Oryzias latipes: one gene and its partners. The protein of the gene in region 2 interacts with the protein of the main gene of each other region in a biochemical or structural test. Links are inferred from orthologs where the notes say so. Each region holds a gene or a part of one and is shown on either strand. Other genes may lie near its edges. The genes, in order: luc7l, SRSF protein kinase 2, prpf38a and rbm15.

Region 1 (6,276 bases), on a different chromosome or scaffold from region 2:
ACCCAGATGAGTTTACCGTTTAGGTAGGACTGCACCCGGTAAATACCTTAAGCTGGTCCAGTTTCTCTCTAATCTGAATGAAGCCCAGGTGAAGCTTTCCACCGAAATGGTCAGCCAGACGGCGGTCGTTGTCGTGGAGACCTAGATATGCAGAGCAGACCTCACAAACTCTGAGTTTCTGTTGCTGAAAGCTGGAGGCTGGCATGGAGTTCCTGTATTCCTCCTGAGCAGAAACAAACATGGATGAATTAAAGTATTAGTAAAGGAAAGGTTTGCTCAATTCATGTATGAGGTTTCATTTGGCCAGCGCTCCTTACTAACCTCTGCATCCTTTTTCTTGGTGCGGACCTTTTCCACTTCCTGCAGAACCTTCTGAGCTTCATCCACGTTGCCTTCCGCTCCAAGTTGCTCAGCCTTGGCCAGAAGCTTCCCTATTTCTTCATTCAGCTCATGCACTTTCTCTGCCTAAAAGAAAGTAAAACCACACAGCCTGAAATAGCTATTGTGTGATGGCAAAACACGAAATAAGAAAACAGGACTGTAAATCGTTACCTTTGCTGCCACCTCAGCACTGATCTCTTCCTGAGTTTCAGCCAGGCGCTTCTTTGCGAGCTCAGTTCTTCGGTCACAGTCAGCAATGAATGACTCCAGATGATCCACTGCCTTTACGTCCAATAAAAAAAGAATAAGTCTTGTTTGAGAAAACATGATCTTAAGAACGAAACAGTGGCTGGGATAGGCTCCAGCAGCCCAGTGACCCCGAAAGGGACAAAGCGGTTAAGAAGATGAATGAATGAATGAATTAATTTTATAATCAAAACACCACTGGGAACATTTATATTAAAGAAAACAATTGTCATAGGGGGACTTTAACAACAGTTTTCTTAGAATGAAAAAAAAAAAAAAAGACTTGCTCATATTGCTTCACTTACATCAAGCTCAAAGAAAAGATCTCTCTCTTTGGAGGCTATTTCATAGTCCGCCCGAAGTGCCAAGTCATGGATCTTTGTACATTCCCCCAGGTCCATACGCTAACAAAGACATAGCAAACAAGATCATTATTTTCATCATTATAAATATACTATGATGTATTTATAAAGTATGTCAAATATGTTTATGTATTCAAAGACGTTTGTCACAAAGTTTAAAGAATATAGAGGCTCCTTACAGTTCCTGACAGAATGTCATGTGGACAGCAGTTGAGAAGATGACTTTTGCACACCCGCTCATCGGTAAACTTGACCCTCTGCCGTGTTTCATCTCCTGTAACAGTACAAAAACAAAAAACCCAAACATTAGAGCCACCTCACACATATGAGATCAGTGGTTAGATATCCTTTGTTTTAAGTGCATCCATTTGGCAAATGTTTGTTTTTGTAGAGTTTGATGGGAAAAATAGACTGTGATGGGGAAAAAATAAATAAAAATATGAGTCTTGTTACTGTAAAGTTTTAAAAATTCATAATAAATGTTATCAGCATCACTAAAAAAAGTTTTTTTAAAGCTTTTTCTGTTGTTTTATTTTTTTATTTTTGAACTTGGGATTTCTACATGCTTACCTTCACCTCAATTATGACTTTGTTATGCAACAGCCTCAAGTCATTTAAACTTGTATTGTTGGCTCACTGTCCACTCTATACTGTGGAACACCAAAAAGCAATAAACAAGTGCAAAAAAGTGATAAGTAAATGTCACTTCTTCAAAATTGGTAATACAAAAGACCTACACTTCTCTCATGAATATTTCATTTAAATTTGTCACTTTACAAAAAAAAAAAAAAAAAAAAGTTCAACATAAATCGAATGGGAAAACAAAAAAGTTATACACACTGTGATCTGCACCACATACTGTACCCTTCTGCATCTTCAAGACCCCAGCTGCAGAATTAAAACCCGCTGTAGAAAAGTATAAATGGGAACAGTTTTCTTGCCAATACCTGTGATAAGAAGTTGGGAGTCATACAAAAAACAGACTGTAAATAATGTAACCTTTTTAGTGTGGAAAGCATTACACTGTCGTCTGAAATATAGACGTGTAATGGACTGCAAAGTGTGAGGTAAATTGAAAGTTTTTTCTTTTTGATACAACGCGCACAAACGTTTTAGTTCAAGCTGTGTTGCACTATTGCAAATTGTAAATCTGGTCCCACACAACAATTACCTTGTTATGCATTTGTGTGCCACTGAGGAGTTACCAACTTGTGTTAAAATAAAAGGAAAAGCTACAATAAATTCCGGAAGGCAAACAATTTGTTTGGATATTATTCATAACATCTTTAAAAATCATGTGTGACTCACGGCTCGATGAACATGAGGCTTTTCTGCAACTCCTTTGCAGATTGATGTAGGCTGGCAATGATACACTGAACCTTAATGAATAAAATAAAGGGGCCACAATTGTTCAATTTGTATGCAACAAATGTATGGGAAGAAATTTGTATCAATCTCATCAGGCATACAACAACAAACTCACAACACAAGTTCACTTTTTTAAAAGTTGTTTTGAGTTGATTTATGGAGCTGCAAATGTTTTTCCAACTTAAATCTCAATTTTTAACTTAAATCTCAATTTTTAACAATGGAGTGGGAGATAATTCACCACCTTACATTTATCAACTGATCATCCCATAAATTCCTTAGTAGTCTTAGGAAAACAAAATTCCCTCAATGCAATTTATTGACAATATCTGGATTACAGAAATGTCACTAATGCGTTTCTTGACAGTAATGTTGGTCAAATTATGTCATGTAGCACAAAATAAAGTATTTAACAAAGCTATGTTTTTATATCAGTAGTAAGTGTGCTACTACACTAAGCTAATACATTAAAGAGACAGTAGTAGCACAATAATACTACAGAAAAATAATATATAGTTGTTTTTTTTTATATATTCATGGAGGGTAGACCTTAACTGACGAATACAAACATATTTAACATTACTCTATACTTATATAAAACCTCTAATGTCGCACGCCATTTCGAAGAAATTGTAACGTCACAAGTTAAGCTAAGTTAAGTCATATATATATATATATATATATATATATATATATATATATATATATATATATATATATATATATATATATATATATATATATATATATATATATATATATATATATATATACACATACAATTTGCCAAAGCTATGATCAGGTAGGAAACTGAACTCAGTCCAGGTCTTAACACCATGGTGTCCAATGATTGAGTTGCTTCACAATAAACGTTACGCAAGTATTAGCTAACGAGCTGTATCGCTAAGATAACAAAGAGTAGAGGTAAACTCATCGAGATGTAAAAAAAGCCACAACAAGTAACATCAAAATCTTGTATTCTTTTTATTTTTTTCTGCCTCAAAATAACGGTCTCCTGTTACAAGCAGCCCTCTGTGGCACACTCATTCATGCAGGTCTGTCCATCACACGCCAACACAAGCCAGCCTCAGCAGAGACTCCATCTTGGCTAGCTAGCTCCGTTAGCATGCTACGGCAACTCACCATCCCTCGCTGTTCCCATGAGTTGGTCGAGCAGAGCTCTCATTTGAGCTTGGGCAGACATTATCGAGGGTGTTCCTTCAACAACCTTTTTATTTCAAGTCAATAACCCGAGAACGGTTCCTTGGATTATACGCAGGGTTAGTCGAACAAATTATTCATCCAACCATTACCCAGAACAGATTTCCCCTATATCGCGAGCTCGTCAGTTTCCGTTTTGTTTTGGGGAAATGACGACAGCAACTGGCAGTCCTTCTGACATCAGTTTTCAACCAATCGCAGTGATTCTTGGAAAAAGTAACTCAACCAATCAAAGCACACCAATAAAATTGTTTTAGTTTTTCTCTCTAAAGTTTGACTGACAGGCTAAATACATTTCAAGCAAGCTCGTTTACTTATAGGCTCCCCCAATGCAGTACGTATACGTGTTTTTATTTATATTTTATTCATCTTTGTAGCCGATGATTTAAACGTTTTGTATGTTTTAAATCTACAAATGTAGGCGAACCTGACAGACAAATCCTGGGTTAATACACAAACAAAGCTATTGCACTGTTCGTCCTGATGCTAGCTTCTTGTCCCCAATAACCCGCAACAGACGAAAGGAACGACTGTGAACGATTTTTAGTAAGAAAACTGCTTTACCTTTTAAAATATATATTTTTAAATATAAGTTTTAAACTTTATCTTTAAGGAAAAATGTTTGAAAATGATTCTGGTTGTTTCTGATCAACAAATTGGCCAACCAACATTAGCCATGAAACCAACCAAAACGGATCATGGCCCCCAAACAAAAACAACGTTTTTTTAGATAAATTTCTAAGTTAAAATGTAAACATATTCGCCAAGGTTCCTAGGTCTGTTTGTAATTTTTTACGGCTTACCCTGCGGTCATAACAAATATGAACAGGCTGCGTAATTTCATTTCAAAGCTGGTGTTTTTCTTCCTGCATTTTTAGATTTTATCAGGAGAATGCTCTGGTGTTGGCACAACTGCATAGAGACACTAGTCCACAAAGGTTGACGAGGTAGAAGCAACTCGACTAAGCAAACACTGAGTGACTGGCTCTTTTTTCTTTTTTTTTCATTTTCTTTGTCCCCCAATTTATAACTGTCATCGAGTTTAGTCTGGCTCTGCTCATAGATAGAGACTGAATTTCAATTCCACACAGATGCTAAAACGAGCCACCACAATGTGAGGATGTGGTCTTGCTTTCTTCTTTTCTGACATTCATGATACTTTTGCCGGTTTGTTAGCTGGTAATGCGTTGAGGCACAGATGGCATCGACAGAGCGTGCCACCGAGGGTGATCCTCTCAGGACAGAAGATGGAGCAGAAACGGCACCACCGGCATCGGAGCAGAGGGATTCTATCAAATACGTTGATGTCCCCAAACGGACCCACTGGAGAACAGCAATCTTTTTCCTGTCACTGTTCCTTTGCCTCACCATCGTGTTTGCCTTCTCCTTCATCCTCCCCTGTCCCGTAAGAGCCCAATACCTCAAAACCTGGAACAGGACTTTCTCTGACGCAGGTGCATCAGATGTTTGTTTGTTTTTTCTATCTTAATATTGAAGAAGAGTTTGTTTCCAACTGCAGTTTTCTTGTTTTATACCCCAGCAACCTATGACTTCCTGGCTATTGAACATGCAAGCAGTGATCATGTGGTGGATATTCTGTTTGTCCTCAAAAACACAGAAGGTTCAAAGAACAACTCATGTGCAGATGCAGGTAAAAACATCAAATCCAGCTTCAATTCAACAAAAAAAAAGATGCTCTTGTAATCAAAATTGCTCCTAATATGACATAATCTTATTTAAATCTTGTTTTACAGGACTACGCTCGCCATGTCTGTTTTTTATCGGGGTGGACGGCACAAAGGGAGAGACGCTGTGGGAGACGCCGCTGGAAGCTGAGTTCTACTGGGCCCAGTGTGGTCAGCAGAAAGAAGCAGAGAAAAGCTGGCACTGCCTCCTGTCTCACTCACACAACCTTACAGCCATCGACAAATACACCGGTCAGTGACTTACCGAGCACCTGTTACTTTTGTAAAGTTGATATTTAGATATAAATAGTACATTTATAAATGAAAGAATACCGTAGGTAAGTTATTACAAAAGTGTTTTTGCTTCCCCCCCCCCCCCCCCCATTCTTTGACAATTTTACAAGTATATAGACGTTTGCATGACAAAAAAGAAAGAAAGCTTACTTCTAAAGACTCTACACATCCAGAGTTATAAGTAAATGGGAAATAAAAAGCAAATACCCTGATAAAACTGTGGATTCCTACTTGTTTGGAATGTCCTATATCCCTCGGAAACACTTTTCCAAGATAATTATTAATTCTGTTCTGTTGATTTAATACTTTATTAACTGAAAAAAAAATAAAAGTTAGGTAAACACAAACTCCCATAAAAGTGACACTAAAACTGAATCTACTAACCTTTAATTTTGTTAGGTAAAGTCATTTGGCAGCAGCCGCAGCCAACAGGTCTGCAGAGCTCCTTGCCTTTTCTCACTGTCCCAGATCTTGATGGGGACAAAGTCAGTGATGTGCTTCTAGTGGCCTCTAACAGCACTCAGGTAAATGGAAAAAATGTGTCGTTCAATTTATCACTCACACTTTTTGAATCTTCAAACACATTATTTTTCAATTTGTTGCTGCTCTATTAGTAATAAAATGTCTAAATGGTTAGTGACAAAGATGATATTTACTAATGCTGAGAGAAAATGACTCCATTAACCTTCATATCTCCCCTTCTGGTTTGCAGACTCAGC
Region 2 (5,109 bases):
TATTCTATTCTATTTTATCCTACTCTATCCTAAATCCTTTGCACGGGAGTTCAGAGTTTCTTCAGACTTTTTATGCATAACAGTATAAAAAACAGCTTACAGTCTGCAAACATTTCTAATAAGAAAAAAAAATCCAACACAACCACTACAATTTAGTGGGGGAAAAAAACTAATATTTTTAGGTTGATTTGCTTTGCAGATTTGAGTAAATTTGACTGATGGAAAGAAGGATTTTGCTCAGAGTTAGGTATTTTTTCTCAGTTTCATAGTTGTTTTCTTCACGATCCCTCTAAATGAATTCTAAATAAAGGTGTCCTCTGTATTCACAAATGCTAGAAGCAAATTCATTAAATGTTATAAACAAATTTCCAAGATGTTAAAACTCCCAAACTCAGATCAGCAACGACAACAATCCTGGTCTCAAGTCAGTCACCAGGACAACACGATTTGATCATTATTTCTACCCTAAACTAAAGTCATTTTTCCTCTTGTTTCCTCTCATCAAAAGCATAAACACTTTACTGAGGATATCCAGACGAGGCAGTACCGGTCCATCGAGGTCCTGATTGGAGCGGGCTACAGCACTCCGGCTGACATCTGGAGTACTGCCTGTATGGTGAGGAAGGTTTATTAAGTAAACCGTCCACTGAAAGGAATCGCTGTTTTACTGTTTGCTTGTCTGTTTAGGCCTTTGAGCTGGCCACGGGAGATTACCTGTTTGAGCCTCATTCTGGAGAGGATTACTCCCGTGACGAAGGTGAGGATTTAAATCTTCATGTCCTACATCCTATGGATCCAGATTCATACTGTGATTCCCATGTTTGTGTATGAAAGCAAAGAAGCAGACACATCTGTGCTTTAAATACAGTGGTGGACAAAATTGTTGGTACCCCTCAGTTAAAGACAGAAAGTCCCCAATGCTCACTGAAATGACTTGAAACATTCAAAAGTAACAATAAGTTAAAATGTATTGAAAACTAAATAATCAAAATCAGCCATTACTTTTGAGTTTTTGACTAACAAAATTATTTAAAAAAAAAAAAACTAATGAAATAGGGCTGGACAAAAATGATGGTACCTCCATGAAAGACTGAGAACTAATTGTCCAGGGGGTCATGATGAACTCAGTTATGTCCTTTAATTGACATCACGGCTGTTTTCAAACCCATAATCAGTCAGTCTACCTATTTAAAGGGAGACAAATAGTCACGTTGCTGTTTGGTGAAAAGGTGTGAACCACACTGAACATGGACAACAGAAAGCATGTGGGCTTTCACGTCATTTCAGCATTGTGGACTTTCTGTCTTTAACTGAGGGGTACCAACAAATTTGTCCACCACTGGATGGGAGTTGGATTTTCTCCATTGTTTACATACTCAACCTCTTCTTTGTTTTTTAAACTCTAAGTAAAATAAAAATTACGTTTCCCAATAAAGAATAATTTTTTCATTTAAAGTAAGTCCCGCTCCGATCATCTTTTGATCTATTGTAAAGTTGTCTTCTAATTATGAATATGCTGTTTTTAGCCAAACTTTAAACGGCGCAAAGCAACTCTACCCGCACTTCCCATCATCTATCTAGTTATGTGCACTTCCTCTAGCTTACAGCCCCTCACACGGCCAACCTAACAACACTGGTGAGCAATATTGGAGCCACCCAGATTCCAGCTCAGACGAGGAAAACAAAGACGTACGTGGATCTAGTCTTCCACAAGAAGCGGAGCAGGGAGCTTGTGGCCCACCCAGTGTGTTTTCTATCTCCCAAATATGCTCAGAATTGGTTTTGTCTGCTCCTGATTTCCCAAAATTGAAATAAAGAAATATTAAGAGATACAAATTGAAGCTTTATAAATGTGCTCCATCATGGGAAAAATTCCACAAGAGCATATTCAAAAACTCAATTGATATCAAAGTGGATCTTGAATCTTTTAAATGTCCCCTTTTTGTCATTTGTGATCAAACTTTTGCCCAATTTAATTCGGGTTTGAATTTTATTTTCTAGAAATATTTTCAACCGTGACACCTTTGATTTTTCTAAATGTATTGAACATTGGAGAAAAACTGAAGCACCAAAAGAGGAACATGTTGTAAATGTAATTTAAAAAAACCCTGATAAGTTATCTTAGTCGACCCCCACCCCTTTCCCAACGCCGTTCTATCTGCTGCTGTTGATCCTGACCTTCAATCTGCAGCTGTGCCTCCACTCATCTCCTCACTCAAACCTACAGTTTAGAGATTTTGTGAGCACACAGGAAGTACTGCTTTAGTATAGAATGGATTCTTTGTTTTTGCATGTGCTACTGTTATTTCCTGCATGTTTTTAAAGTAAAGATTTGTCTAGATTCTTAAAAATGACTAGAGAGCTTTTAATCTGTTGCTATAAAATCCCACTGACTGTAATATTTTCTTTCCTCACCTGAGCTGTGGAGGCACAGTTTAACACTTTCACATCTTCACTCTCTGCGACTTTCTCAATTTTTCTCTCTTCTCCCCCCTTCCAACTTTTTGTTGTTGTCCCCCTGACATTTTTATTCTTTTAACACCATTTTTCTATTTCCCCTGTGTGGTTTCTTTCTGGTTTTATTATTCCTCCTCCTCCCTCTCCTCCCTTTGGCACCTTTTTTCCTCCCCTTCTCCGCTCGACCCTCTTTCCTTCGTAGACCACATAGCCCACATCATAGAGCTGCTGGGAAGTATTCCGAGGCACTTTGCTCTCTCTGGAAAATATTCCCGGGAGTTCTTCAACAGAAGAGGTAGCGCTGGCCAGAGAACTGGTGGGACCGGCACACGCACATGCCAAACAGGAGCAGAAATGGACAATGGCGGATTCTTGCAGAATGTTGAGCCAACTTTAGAAAAAGAGATTTTTCTTTGACAAAGTGACCAAAAGCAAAATAAACCAAATCTAAGAAAACGGCTCATCCACAAACTCTCTTTCTGCATGTCCATGCCGTTCCTTGAGGCAGCAGTGTGTGTCCGTACCGTGCAGCCCAGTGTACGTGTGTGTTGATGTGTGTGCATGCTGTAATGCTGAACCGTGCCTGTTCCCTTTGTGACGTATGGTGGGCAGACCACATCGCTCTGATCACGGAGCTCCTCGGGAAGGTCCCGCGCAAAGTGGTCGCTGCCGGGAAGTACAGCCGAGAGTTTTTCTCCAAGAAAGGTAAACGGCTTGCTGGTTGTTGGTTGGTTAGCTGTGGTGGGGGCCTCAACCTGCAGCGCAGGAGCGCCACAAGCCCAGATCAGACCTTTGTCTGGGAAAGTTCCCACACTTTGTTGTTCAGATGAGGAGCTACAGGTAAGTTTGCAATGCTCAGTAAAATGTAGAAAAAATGGTCAAGTCCCACTCTGATCATCTTTGGATCTATTTTCAAAGAGTTCCCAGTGGTCTTTTAGTTCTGAGTTTTCCGTTTTTAGCCATATTTTCTACATATTTGTAGAACTTGCACAATTGGTGACTGACTAAAAGCTTTTTTGTCCCACTGTAGCAAGGCTGATAAGAAACGTTGTTTGATACGTTCAGCTTTAGGCTTGAAGCAGGTTTAAACTAAGCAACTAAGCTTCTCTGGATGTATTCTGCAAAACGAGGTCATGCTTTCTATGGATCTTCAGTCTGAATCATTTCTGTGGAGAACATCAGTGTTAGCATTTCTAGCTGTGCAGCCTGTGTCTGCATCCATTTGGTTCTCAAACCTCCAAAGCTCAACACGAAGAAAGAGTTTTGCTGCTTTTGTTGCACAATGCAATGATGCTTTCAGGTGTTGCTGGGTTTGACTGACTGACTGACTGACTGACTGACTGACTGACTGACTGACTGACTGACTGACTGACTGAACTTAAAAATGAAAAACGGTCATCTAGCTGCAAGTGTGGAAGTCTTTCTAGCGTTAGCATTGATAGCAGCCCTAAAACACTTAAAGCACTTGTCATTTTAATTCCACTCATGCGTTATTAGAACATGTTATTGAACTTTTCCTTCTCATCTTCACTGGACAAATACTTTATGCTGGAAGGTTTTGAGGTGAAGACAGAAAGAATGTAATGGTTACAAACACCAAATAAGCTTATCATGACTAAAAGCCTGTTTTAAAACTTTTCCGCTCTGTCTGAGGCTACAGTTTGAAGTTGGAGTCCCACTTTTGGAATCCATTCCCAGTCGTCTTTAAACTATGATTATGGCTCTTTTAGCCAAAAAAAAAAGCAGCAGTAACTCCTTAGAAATTTGCCTCATAGTTGTGGGCGGAGCTGTAGGTGCAGAATAAGCCTGCCTCCCTTTCCCATCATCCATTGTTTTACACTGCTAGTCTGCAAGTCCTCACAACTCCAAGCTAACATTACAGGTGCAACAAAAATGGCGAGCACTATTGGTTCTGTCTCGCCGTACAGTGTCTTTAAATAATATGTGGAAATCCCTTCTGTTTGGGCCGGGTGAGGTATGAACCCGATAGAGCTGATGACCGCTGCACTCTCCTTTCTGCTAGTTTACTCTTTACAATGAGATGGGAAGATCCGGCCTTTGATGTCTCTATCCGAGGTCTGAGTCCACACTTCGTGTCTCCGTGTTCTGCCTTTTATCTGGTTTTGCTGCGTTAATCTAGACCCGCTTTCCGGGTCTGTCTCTGGGGTCTCTGCTGTCTTGCTCAAAGGCGCTCGGCAGGATTCTACTGGAGTCAAATCTCTGTTTCATCCCCCATCATGTGCAAAAGAAAGGGGTTACCACGGCAACCACATTTTTAAACTGGACTTCTTAAGAGTCTGAGTCTGTCGTATAAATGAAATGACAAAAACATAAAAGTGAATTTGAAGTCCCACTCTGATTGATCTATTGTAAAGCGTTCCTATTGGCCTTTTAATTAAAATTGTGCCGTTTTTAGCTAAAATTATAGAAAAAAACTGATTCATTTTCTAGGACACTGATTCTGCAGAGCATTGGTTCATTAGAAATTTGCCTCTGAGTTGTGGGTGGGACTGTTGATGATAGCCCGCCCTCACTTCCCATCATCCATCTGTTTACTCACTCTTCCACGAGCTCCCAGCCAAGCTAACATTACAGGTGCACCAAAAATGGCAGCCAATATTGGAGCTATTCTGCAGTAAGGTTTTGAGTCAG
Region 3 (5,242 bases), on a different chromosome or scaffold from region 2:
ACAGTTAAAGGGGCGGGACTTTTCCAAAATACAGCCGAAGCTGCAGCTGAATCGCGGTACTGTACCGTCATTCTTATCAATATGTCTTTAATAAAATAAAATAAACGCAAAGAAAAAGTATTTTACGATCTTTTATATTATTAACTCCTCAGAGTTTTATCAGGGCCTGTTTGGATGAACAGAGAGCTGAAATCCTGGAGATGGGAAATGTTTTTAGATCAGTTAATGAGGGGAATTTCCCACGGCACACTTGACCATCTTCCACGGCACACTAGTGTGCCGCAGCACACTGGTTGAAAAACACTGTTCTAGGTATTTCATGAACAACTTGGTGACATATTTCAACGTGTATCTTTTTCCATTCTTCAAGAAGAACCTCTTTTACAGCCTGGATGCTGGATGGAGAGTGATGCTCAACTTGTTCTTCAGAATTCCTTACTTGGGTTCAGATCAGGAGACATCCTTGACCAGCGTTCAAAACCGGTTGTCCGAGACAACCAGATTTCAAGGAGGACAACCAAAATGAACCTGATGGTTGTCCGTGTGACAACCTGGTCTTTTATTCAACATTTTGGTATTTTTCGACTATTTTTCAAGTTTCACGGGTTAGTTTTTGGTAACCTCTGAATTGAGACGTATGCAGCTAATTCTTTCCACCGACAAACGAAGTGCATGCATCATGCTAACGAATCCTTTCTGTTTCTACATGTGCACTTTTCAATAAAGATTTTTCAAATAGAAGTGTTGAACAACAGTACCTGGCGCGACCGCTAGAGGTCTCCAAAAACACGCAAAAAGATTTAAAACACATTCATAAACACTATAACTTTCACTCATAACAGAACAGACTGACATGAGCTGGAAAAAAAAACTTTTTCCATGGGATTGATATAATATTCTAAATTTTTTACAACAGTTTTGGTATTTTATATTCTTTAAGGAACAATTATCAAAAACCAAAGAAAAAAATAACCAATATATTTAAATCTGTGTAAAGATACTAGTTATAAAGATATTGGTTTCAAGTTTTTGGCAATACTTTGTGTAACCAGATGCTTCAGTATTTAGTAAAATGTTTGTTTTTAATTTTAAAGAGTTTTTTAAATGTCCATCATAAGAGGCAGTTAATATTAGATGTATAGAAGAAATAAAGATGTAAGTACTGACATCTGAGTAGGTTTAGTTGCTGTTGAATTCATTGGTATCGAAGGAAAACCAAAAATTGGGGAGGACAACCAAGTTTACTTGCCTCGGACAACCATTTTTTCCCCCTTATTTCTAACACTGTTGGCCATCCAATCACCTTCACCCTGTTCTTCCGAAATGCAGCAGTAGCTTCAGGAGTGTGTTTTGGATCATTGTTGTGTTGGAAAAGTGCTCCTTGACCAAGTGCATAAAGTGATGGCAGCATCTTCTCCTTTAGTATAGAGCAGTACATTGTTGAGTTCATGATGCCATCAATGAAATGCAGCTCCCCGACACCAGCAGCCCCACATCAGCACACTGCCACCACCATGTTTCACTGTAGGCACCATGCATTTTTCTTTGAAATTCTCACTTCAGCAACACCATAGTTTTAAAACCATTAGTTCCAAAAAGGGGGATCTTTGTCTCATCACTTCAGAGTATTGAGGCCTTTATCTTTTTTAGCTAATTCTAGACGTGCTTTTTTGTGCACGGGCTTTGGGAAAGGCTTCTTTCGTGGACAATAACCATGCGTGCCATTCCTCTGCAGCGTGCGCCGGATGGTGTCACGGGAAACGGTCACTCCAGTTTGGCGTTCTACTGCTTTAGCTAACTGCAGTGAACTACAGTGGCGATTTTCTTCAACCTTTCTCATCAGAAGACGCTCCTGTTCAGATGTTAGCTTCTGTTGACGGCCTGGACGTCTCTGTAAGATGGTTGCACTTCCATCTTTCTTAAATTTTTAGATTACGATCCAAAAAGCCCTTCCCATTTCATGCTGTCTCCGATAGCTACCCATGGAAAAGAAATGTCACAATATCTGAGAAAGGACAGGCTTTTCTTTGGTTAAATGCTCTTTTCTAGCCACCTCTGTGCTGTACACGTCTTAAATGAATCAGTAGACTCACTTGTGGTTGAATGCCTGATAATTAGAATTCTGTAGTCTTAAGTTTGGCTTTTCTCCTAAGACTCTGACTGGGGTGTACTCCTTTTTACAACGTGGGCGTGACCTAATTTGTTAGGTCAAAAAACAAAAACACACGTTTTTGTGTGCAACTTAAAATATCTGGTTTGCAATCAATGGTCCACCTGTGTAGAAAAATGTTAATTCCAAAAGAACACTGAAGGTTTTCGGACAAATGTAGTGGGGTGTCCTCATTTATGCTGAGCACTGTACATGAACGACATAAGATCTGAGACAACACCCACCGTCTGGGTGAGCGGCTGCGTCTGTAACGTGGCGACGGTGAGCGGCGAGGTCTGTCGTTGTCACGGTAACTCCGCCTGTGAGGTTCGGGGGAGTGCAGTCGCTCTGGCTGTGGGCACGGAAAGCAAACACGGAGTTATAACTCCTGCAATGATATTCGGCCAAACCAAGAGATCAACACATCATCAAAGGCCGTTACCTTTTCGTCCTCCTCATCTTCTTCCTCACTGCTTTCCACTTCATCCAGGTCTTCCTCCAAAGCGCTGACCCGAGGGTCCAGCATCTCTGCCTCCTCCAGGACCTGCCTCCTCTGTGACACACAGGAAAGGATACGATGACTTTATGGAGGAAAGGGGTCACTTGTTTGTTTTTACTCAAAAATTCTCAAAGACAAAACTGTTGTTACATCTTTGTTCATTGTTATTTGTTACTGGATTGGCCGTCACGGGACATACGGCATGACACACAAGCGCCATTACTACACATTGAGTCTTCACTTGTTTGGTGAAGAAACGACGAGGTCCAAAGTCCGCAAAGAATTACAAACGGGGACACGATGTATTGCAATGAACCACAAAAATGATGACAACAAAATAATTTATTACAAAATAATAAAGGAAACACATTTCAAAGGTTAGTGCTCGCATTTTAATAGAGAGAAATCAGGCTGGGAAGCGTGAGGTGCAAGTAGCATTGATGTTTATTTTTAATCAATGTTTGATTATTTTATCTTTTAATTTATTGTTTGTGTGTTAGCCTGGGGGCGGTGCTGGCAGTGCAGACTCTTCCTGCCCCTTCGACTGTTCTCCACTTAATGATGTCACAATGTGAGGACCCGCTCGTTTTCGTGGGTTAGGAGGCGCCGGTGCTCAGAATGCAGATTTTTAGAGGAATACCCAGAAATGCGTAAACGGATCAAAACACCGCTTTGGGGTTTATAGTGAGAAATAAACATTACAATACACTTAAAAGCTCAAAAACCTGATTTTGAATGGTGTAAGCCTTTTAATGAAAAACAAAATCCAAATGGTTACGAATATGATTTGAAACCGATTAAAGTAAATATAAAAACACAAAAAAATTCCTCTTTCAGACACATTTCTCGGTAACTGTGTAGAAAAACTATTTGCCCTAATTTCATTTCTATCCAATGCTTTCCCCATGAACTAAAACATAAATTTGAGACAGACTACAGAGCTTTCGGAAAATATAGACACCCCCCCCAAAAAAAACTGGTCCAGTAGCTTCAATAAAATGTATAACTGACAGTTTTTTTCTTTTAAAGATTACAAATTTAAAATGCACTATTTAAAAGATAAAACAAGTATGACATTCTAAATCTACAACTGATAGTTGTACATTACTGTACAACCAATTATGAGTCAAAGGGGGCTTCTGGGAAGTTACCCACCTGAAGTCGAGGAAGGATGATGTCACACACTCTCTCTGCGTGAAGAAGTTCATCTATGAACTCGTCGACGTGCATCAGCTCAAACTCTGCATCAAAAACCAGAAAAATCCATCAACCTAACAGAGCTTCATGAAGGCTTACATGTGTCACTCCTTGTCCAGGTCTGGATCCACATGTCAGAGTCCGCTCAAAGGAGGAAGATGCATGAAAGCTCAGTGTGAGTCCAAAAGCATGTGGGAGGAGCAGCAAGGGAGCTTCCATGTTGGAAACCTGATCTTTTTCTGTATGCAAGCCAAAAAATGAATAAAGATGAGAAAGATTCTAATCTTCTGTGTCTTACCTCCATTTCTGTTCTGGGTCTTAATCTTTCTGTAGTCATTGTACAGCGGTTCCAGGTATTTGTAGCAGTCCACGGCGGTGCCGGTCAACCGCATGTACATGGCTCCAAGAAGACGGACATATCTGACAGACGTGACACCAAACGGTTATGAAAAAAATCGGAAAAAAAGCTAGAAAGAATTTTTTTGGTCTCTGGTCATTTTCATCTGTTACCATATCTTCAGGGGTTTGAAAAAGACACATTACAGCACAAAATTTTTCATTAAAAGTGAGAATTAGAGGAAACAAGGTATTTTACTGTTAATTTTATTCCATGTTTATTTGCTTTGTTTATCTCTTTGTATTCCATATTTTTTAATTTGCATCTAGGCTCATCTTTTATGGTCTTTGTCCCTTTTAAGAAGCTTAAATGCATGAATTACAACAACAACAAAAATCAGCATTTGCTTAAGAATTCGTTGATTAGCTTAATTTATGAATATTAGACAGGTTGTTTTCTACTTGACATTTCATAACACAGCAAAAAAAAGTTGAAGGGTTGTGAAACAATAGATAAAAGGCGATTTTTGATGACCCACTCCACCGAAAATCTTGTTTTTAACATGTTCCTATAGCATTTTCTGATGATGGACATATATTAAGAAATTAAGCTCAAAATTGCATTTCTGAGTATTTCTTCATTCAAATTAGCGTGAATTAGTAGCAGACAAAAAAGGCAATTTGAAAAAAAAAACTTTTAGCTGTGATTTAGAAACAAAGATAAGGGGTTAGGGGTTGGGGCAGGGTTGAGGCTCTTGAGGACCAGGGTTAGCCACCCCTGCGGTATAGCGTGTAAACAACTCTTGGTTTTGGATGACGGGAAGGCAATCGGTCTTCCTCTTCACCAACGGTCCCACCTACAACTCAGAGGCAGATTTTTAAAGATTTTTTTACTTTTGGCTAAAAAGGGCATAAGGGGTGGTTGAGCAGGTCGGCCAATGATTGAAGGGTCAGGGGTTCAATCCCCACTCCCCCAGTCAACTGTTGTCGTGTCCTTGGACACGACAACAGTTGACTGTTAAGACACTTAACCTTCTGTGCCTCCAGCGTGGCTCCACTGG
Region 4 (6,449 bases), on a different chromosome or scaffold from region 2:
TATTCACTCTGCAAGCATCCATGTGTGGAGGAAAAAAGGGGGCACTAAATTAAAAAAAAAGCTTTAAAACGAATAAAATTCTAAAATTGCAATGTAAGTATTTGCATTCATTCGTTTTGCATATTATGGGCTGTTCCCTGGGCAGGAACACCGCTTAAACGTTAGTGTTCAGCTATCCACACACAGATATTAGCATCCCCAAGTTATGCTACATTTCGGCAAAAAAAAAACAAAAAATTTCAGGAACTTGATTCAATAAAACCTGACCCCTCCCCCAGCAAAAGTTCACAAAACTGCAGCTGAAATACATGGACTCTAACCAAATGGTGACCTTCAATTAACTACTGTGGAACCGAGGTCAAACACAGAGCACAACTCATTTTTTCTTTGAAACTTTTAACGGAAATGGTGTTATTTTAACTAAAGAACACGGCTAAGTTATCGGATGTAGTTCCATTGAAGAGTTGTGTGATGTGTTTTAACCTTATTGGAATATCTGTTCTCCCTTTACAACAAAAATATTTGTTACTGCCATTCTATAACAGTTAATAGAACCATTTATTTCCATTTCCTCAAGTATCTTGAGTTCACAATTTACTCAAAGCAGAAAGAGCTGACAATTCACTGCACTTTAGGTGAAGGTAAGGGGGGGTTTGCTGTTTTTTTCAGAATACCAACAATAACACCATCAGCACAGGCTGAGGTAATGCAACATAGTGGATCAGAAAAAAAATGATCTAAAAGCAAAAATTAAATAAAGTCATTTTTATATGTTGGGCTTCTTTTATCACCGAGTTATTGTGTAAATACTCTGAGGTTTTTCATTCTTGCAGAACATCTGAATTTTAACTAATAAATCCCCAAATCATCAATTTGTAATGAAGCATTTGTGACTGATCAAATTCAAATACTCACTTGATATTTTTAAGATGAACCTTTTAGTTTGGTTGCAGGGCACCATATGTCTTTTTAGTGAATTACATGGCACCTTACAAACACTCAAGAACCATACTAGTGTACCCCACAATGCAGAACACAGCATGCAATAATTACTGACAAACAGCAGACTTGTTTTTTCTTATATTCCACTTGAACATAGTGCATTGTGACTTTTTCTCTTTTTTTTTTTTTAAGATGCTCCACGAACCACAATCATGACCAGATAGTCTTCTTCGCTTTTTGCCAGAGCTTTTGCAGAGGAATCCAGGAATTGCTGAGAGAAATCACAGGGGGGGAAAGCATGAAGAACCCCTGTGTTGTCTTTATCTCTGCTCCCTCCCACAGGCAGACTGATGACCCCAGCTGCTTGTTTTTGGTTGAGGTAGGACACCAGGTTGCGAAGGGGCCGCTGGGTTGAGGCCATAGGATCAGATGAAGAGGAGTCCTCTGTGCTTCCAGGAACTGCCAACAGGATGGCGTAGCCGCCTGGACCGGCGACTTTGATGCGCCGAGACACCTCATCAAGCTTTGGCTGGTCCAGACGGAGACGCTGCGTGATCTTTAGCTCGCTCACCTGCCTTCCGGTTGAGCCGTCGATGAGCAGGTCGCTGGCGACGCCGTAGTCACCTTCTAGGAGATGCATGCTGGCTGGAAAGTTGCTGTTCTTCAGGAGCAGCATTCCGCGCCATGCCACAATGAGTTTGGTGCCATCAGGTTTGGATTGCTGGGCTCCTTTAGAGCTGCTTTCAGAGCGTTCTCTCTTGGCAGGCACTTTGCCACTGTCGCCCGCTTTGCGTTTCCGCTCACCAGCAGATGAGAGTCCTTTCTCAGAAAGACTCTGGCTTTTAACCCTTCGATCCGCCCCACCTCTTTCAAGGCTAATGACATGTTCTCTGGCTGGTGAGGCCGTTTCACTGTGCACAGGATGCTCAGAGTCACTGAAACGTCCTCCGTCTCTGCTGCTGCCCCCAGGACTGCCATCTGGAGAAGAACGTCTACGTCTCACTGTCCTCTCAGTGCTGTCAGGAGAGTGATCTAGGTGACGGCCATCCTCCAATAAGCGTCTCTTACGTCCTGGTTCTCGCCCTTGCAGCTCACGCTCCAAAGACCAAGGCTCTCGAGTTCTCCGGTCGCGTTCCAAATGTTCCAGAGGCTCAAAGGGGGATCCCCGGACCCGCTCACGAATGGCCGGGTTGGGCCACTCCGTTGCTGGAAAGAGTTCTCTGTCCCTGAAGTGAAGTGGAGGTGGAGTCCGATCTCTGACTCTCAGAGGTTCAGGCGTGGCGCGGTGGACAAACGAGTCAGCCACCATGTCAAACGGTGGAATAGGGAGAGGCTGCAAGAACTGCTGCTGGTACCGGTGCTCAGTGTCTGCGAAATCCACCCGAAGTCTTCTCTCTGGGCCTCCCAGCGGAAAGCCTCTCATGTGTGTCCATGCTGCTTGAGCAGCATCTAAACTTTCATACTGGATGTAGGCCCAAGTGTCACCTTTTCTGTAGTCAATGGTCCTTATAGTGCCAAAGCGATCAAATTCTCTGGCCAGGGCAGCTAAAGGAACCCACGGTCCAAGTCCACCGACCCACAAACGGGTCGTGGGTGTTGCTTTTCCGTAACCGATTTTTATAGGGTTGCGACCCACTATTTTTCCAGACATGCTAAGCTTAGCACGATGAGCCATGTCAAGGTTCTCAAACTTAAGAAATCCATATGTGCTGGTCTGTCCTCGTGATGGTCTCTTGATGTCCACCTCTGTTATGACTCCAAACCTGTCGAAAGCCCGCCTGAGGTCTGCTTCTGCAATGTTTATGTCCAAGTTGCCTAAAAACAAAGTCCTGTTTGCTCTTTGGTCGTCTTCCGGAGATATTAAATCCTCTTCACGAAAAGCTGCTCGCTCTGCAAGGAAAGCTGGACGTGCCCTGGCTTCAAACAGGGCGAACTCTCTGTCCCGGTCCAGTTCTCTGGGCAGAGGGGGCGGAGGGGGAGGAGGGAGCCGTCCCAAAGCCAGCTGCTGCAGCCGGTAGTCTCTGTAACCCAGGCCGGTGGGCGACAGGGGTCTCTGCAAGTGTCTGTGACTTTGTGCTGCGCTGTACAAGTCCCTCTCCACGGGGGAGCGGCTTCTCCTCCTGCTCGTGTAAACGGCCTCGATCTTCAGCGGCCGGTCGTAGAGCACGAGCCGGCCTCTGGCGTGTTTAGCAGCCCTGGCGTCCTCCGGCTTCCTGAAGTTAACGAAAGCAATCCGTTCGTCGTTGCTGCGACTAATTTTGACGCTCACGTCGCCAAACTTTTTGAATTCATGAAAAAGCCCATCTTCTATATCCTCCTCGCTCAGCTGATTCCCAAGGTCGCTGATTTTGAGTGTTTTGTACTCACTCTCGGTGCTGGGCGGCGGAACACGCTGCTCCGCGCGCGAAGAGGCTCGCGGGGAGGCTAGGTCTAGCGACAGGCTCAGGTTGTGGTTTTTACCCACGGAGCTGGAAGCAGCAGACTGACAGCTGTGATTATTTCCAGTCCGACTATGGCCCTCAAAATCTCTGTCCCTTTTCTCACCCAACAAGCTCCGTCTCGTTGAGCCGCTGTCGCTTTTGGACGAACTGTTTCCATTATTACTCCCACTGGAAACGGAGAGAGCCCCCATTTTCTTGCTGGTCGGGTGGCATCCTCCCCTCTCTCGAATGTCGTCCAAGGCCCGGGACCGTTTTTTAATCGGCGACCGCTCCTTTCCTTTCATTGCAGCCCACGAAGAGTAAACTCTTTGTGGTAACTGGCTTTTTCCTGCACTCCTTCCACAAAATAATGTAGAAAATATCCAATACGTTCAAAGAATTTATTTACCGACCCTGCGGCAAAACAACAACAGTCGCCATTTTGTTAAGATTTGTGAGAAGACCCGCCTCCATGCGCTGATTGGCCGGTGTTTGGGGGGCGGCGATTGGTTAAAACCTTTTAAAATCCCGTCAATCACGCACACAGCGATGGATTAAAAAATGGGTCATTTCAGAATAAACCTATTTTAAATAATCCACATGCAAAACTAAGTGAAAATAATTACTGAAAATAATTTAAAAAATGCCAAATAAGCTCAATGTACCCCCTAAAATGCATTTTTTCTTGTCCCGTCCCCCATTGTCCAAATTAAATCTTCAATAAAAGCAGTTAAAATTAAATTTTAGATTCAGTTTTTGGTATATCTTGTTTTGATTGGTGTTTTATGTAACCGTGGGATTTTTTTAAATAAAAGAAGTATTTCAAATATTATTTATGATCAATACAATGTGTTTCCCACCGAATCCACACAATTCCTTTTACCATAACAGGTAAGAGGGTTAGAATATAGCAAAGAGTGATATGCTGGACTTGACATCATCAAACAGTATTCAAAAAGAATGGGTAGAGCAAAAGTTACGTGGATCTTTTATTTTTAACACATAGTTATCCTAGATTGAATGTCTCACTCCGCCTCATGCAACCCTGTTTCCCTATAATCAGAGTAAGACAATTATTGTTATTGTTGTTGCTTTTTTATGAGTAAGTAAGCAATCAAATTAGCATGTAAAGTAGCAACTGAGAAAAACAAGATATCACCATTCATTCTGGGGTGGTCAGAAATGCAAAAAGGCATGCCATTGAAATCACATTAATTTTCTTATTGGTACTCAGTGACAGCTAAACAACTAGCGTCTACTCCTGAGAGAAAGTCAATATTAATACATGTTTGCAACCCTGTTACTTGCAAAAATTGATAACAAGGTTGCATCAAGTCTTGTCATCATCAATATAATGTCATAAATATTTCGCAGTTGATCTGTAAGCAAAGTTAATCAAGCCTTTGACAGATATTACCTTTTATTGACGATTATATAGCAGAGAATTAGAAAAGTCAAAGTTTGCTCTTCATGAATTTTGCAGCCCAAATGTCCTCCAGTTCTGGAATGACCCAAATATCAACATATTAACTGAATATTAAAAGATACAAACAAAAACACATGGACATGTTCCATATGATTTATTTTCTAAATCGGAAGCCTCTTTGCAAGTGTCCAGAAAGTAGTGAAACTGGAAGTATGATTTAAAATTTTTATTCATTTTTCATTTTGTTTTACTGTATGTATGTGTGTGTGTTCTGAATTTGAGGTGTAAAGTGTATCAGGCATCATTCGAATTTGCTTTTAACGGAAGACAGGTGTTCTTTAATGTACCACAAGATGGAAGTGGTCAAAAGGTCTGAAGGAAAAATAGGAAGTCAAATTTACCCCAAGCCTTGTTTGATCAAGCACACTTTTTTCAAGACAAGCTGGTAAATGTACTGGTCACCATGTCCGTTAGCCGAGGACTGTTGAGCGTGGAAACCACTATCCAGGATGAAAAATCCAAGATGCATGAATACATCAAGCTCAAGGCCCCAATTGACAGTGTGCTCTGTGAAAGTCTCAGGCAATGGGGAGCAGAGGATGCGGTGCTATAGGACAGATCCTCATGGGAGGACAAGCCCCTACATGGGATGTCCCATTGGACCATTAAGGAAGTGGCTTATGTCAAGAAGTCCTACCAATGGCTAGAAAGGCCTGGCCTACAGGACAGCACTGAAGCATTCATCCTGGCAGCGCAGGAAGTGCAACTTATTCAAGTTATAAACTGACCAAGCAGATGCCTCAATAAAAGCATGTGGTCAAACAACAAGAGTTAGATTGACTGATTCTCCAGAGCACACTTTCAAGTGGTAGAGGAGTGGACGTCCAACAAGCTCACTCCTGATTGGGGAGAGTGGTTGCCATAAAAATGCTATCTCAGGCCGACTCTGACTGATTACTGCTCATTAACGATTTCTGGTTCCAACACGGCGATGTTAAGAACTGCAGACTGAATTGACGAAGGTCTTTGGAACTGGAAGTATAAGCCACACTCTATGGGTGATGTCACACTCGCTTGGTCCAGTTCTCTTAAACAGTTAATGGCTAAATCATCTTTTGAAGGTTTTTTTTTTTTTGTTGTACAAGATGTGACGCTTAAACAGTTCCAATGTGAACAAAGGTCTGTAAACATCCATAAAAATTATTGCTGTACACGGTAAAGTAACCTATTTTAAATTGTTTTAATGATATGATGCTTTTAGTGAATTTGATAGATAACTGTGTTTACTACATACTGCTTCAAGCTGACCTGTTATTGATTATGTTAGTAAATGAAGACATATAAAAGCTTGTGGAAAAACAGTAACTTTCACAAGAGTTTGATTAAAACTAATAGCTGTTCAGCTCATAGGTATGCCATGATTTCATGTTGGTTAGTACTATCTCGCTGAGTTTGATCATTTTTTCATATCTGTACAAAGACCAAAAAAAAGACACAAAAACCAAACACAAACCCATTATGTGCCATTTCTCCAGCTTTACTAAAGATGACAATCTCTCGAGTCTGATATTCTTCCTGACAGCATTTCTTATCTTCACTTCTTAATCTGGGACTTAATCAGTAGAGGCTGCAGAAAAGGCTGCTGAGTCCCAGGGCCTTGC

Evidence for each region.
Region 1: of the proteins of SRSF protein kinase 2 (region 2) and luc7l, one has a biochemical effect on the other in vitro, tested with the Homo sapiens proteins (2 studies listed by BioGRID and IntAct). The link is inferred for Oryzias latipes from reciprocal best matches to the Homo sapiens genes SRPK2 and LUC7L.
Region 3: of the proteins of SRSF protein kinase 2 (region 2) and prpf38a, one has a biochemical effect on the other in vitro, tested with the Homo sapiens proteins (2 studies listed by BioGRID and IntAct). The link is inferred for Oryzias latipes from reciprocal best matches to the Homo sapiens genes SRPK2 and PRPF38A.
Region 4: of the proteins of SRSF protein kinase 2 (region 2) and rbm15, one has a biochemical effect on the other in vitro, tested with the Homo sapiens proteins (2 studies listed by BioGRID and IntAct). The link is inferred for Oryzias latipes from reciprocal best matches to the Homo sapiens genes SRPK2 and RBM15.

The regions. Positions count from the first base shown.
Region 1 is NC_019877.2:9,490,352-9,496,627, forward strand, and holds the start of luc7l (putative RNA-binding protein Luc7-like 1), read right to left. Parts: upstream 3,738-6,276; 5' UTR 3,562-3,737; coding exon 3,501-3,561; intron 2,369-3,500; exon of another isoform or gene 2,298-2,368; intron 2,292-2,297; exon of another isoform or gene 1,560-2,291; intron 1,264-1,559; coding exon 1,169-1,263; intron 1,032-1,168; coding exon 933-1,031; intron 664-932; coding exon 553-663; intron 466-552; coding exon 322-465; intron 224-321; coding exon 47-223; intron 1-46. Other genes in the region: protein FAM234A, read left to right, coding at 4,777-5,032, 5,119-5,229, 5,333-5,515, 5,957-6,081, 6,270-6,276. UniProt on the Homo sapiens protein: May bind to RNA via its Arg/Ser-rich domain.
Region 2 is NC_019864.2:11,770,127-11,775,235, reverse strand, and holds part of SRSF protein kinase 2, read left to right. Parts: intron 1-508; coding exon 509-616; intron 617-687; coding exon 688-757; intron 758-2,659; coding exon 2,660-2,752; intron 2,753-3,069; coding exon 3,070-3,162; intron 3,163-5,109. UniProt on the Homo sapiens protein: Serine/arginine-rich protein-specific kinase which specifically phosphorylates its substrates at serine residues located in regions rich in arginine/serine dipeptides, known as RS domains and is involved in the phosphorylation of SR splicing factors and the regulation of splicing.
Region 3 is NC_019862.2:23,722,583-23,727,824, forward strand, and holds part of prpf38a (pre-mRNA-splicing factor 38A), read right to left. Parts: intron 4,266-5,242; coding exon 4,144-4,265; intron 3,890-4,143; coding exon 3,804-3,889; intron 2,703-3,803; coding exon 2,592-2,702; intron 2,502-2,591; coding exon 2,395-2,501; intron 1-2,394. UniProt on the Homo sapiens protein: Involved in pre-mRNA splicing as a component of the spliceosome.
Region 4 is NC_019865.2:10,858,508-10,864,956, reverse strand, and holds the start of rbm15 (putative RNA-binding protein 15), read right to left. Parts: upstream 3,832-6,449; 5' UTR 3,668-3,831; coding exon 1,130-3,667; 3' UTR 1-1,129. UniProt on the Homo sapiens protein: RNA-binding protein that acts as a key regulator of N6-methyladenosine (m6A) methylation of RNAs, thereby regulating different processes, such as hematopoietic cell homeostasis, alternative splicing of mRNAs and X chromosome inactivation mediated by Xist RNA.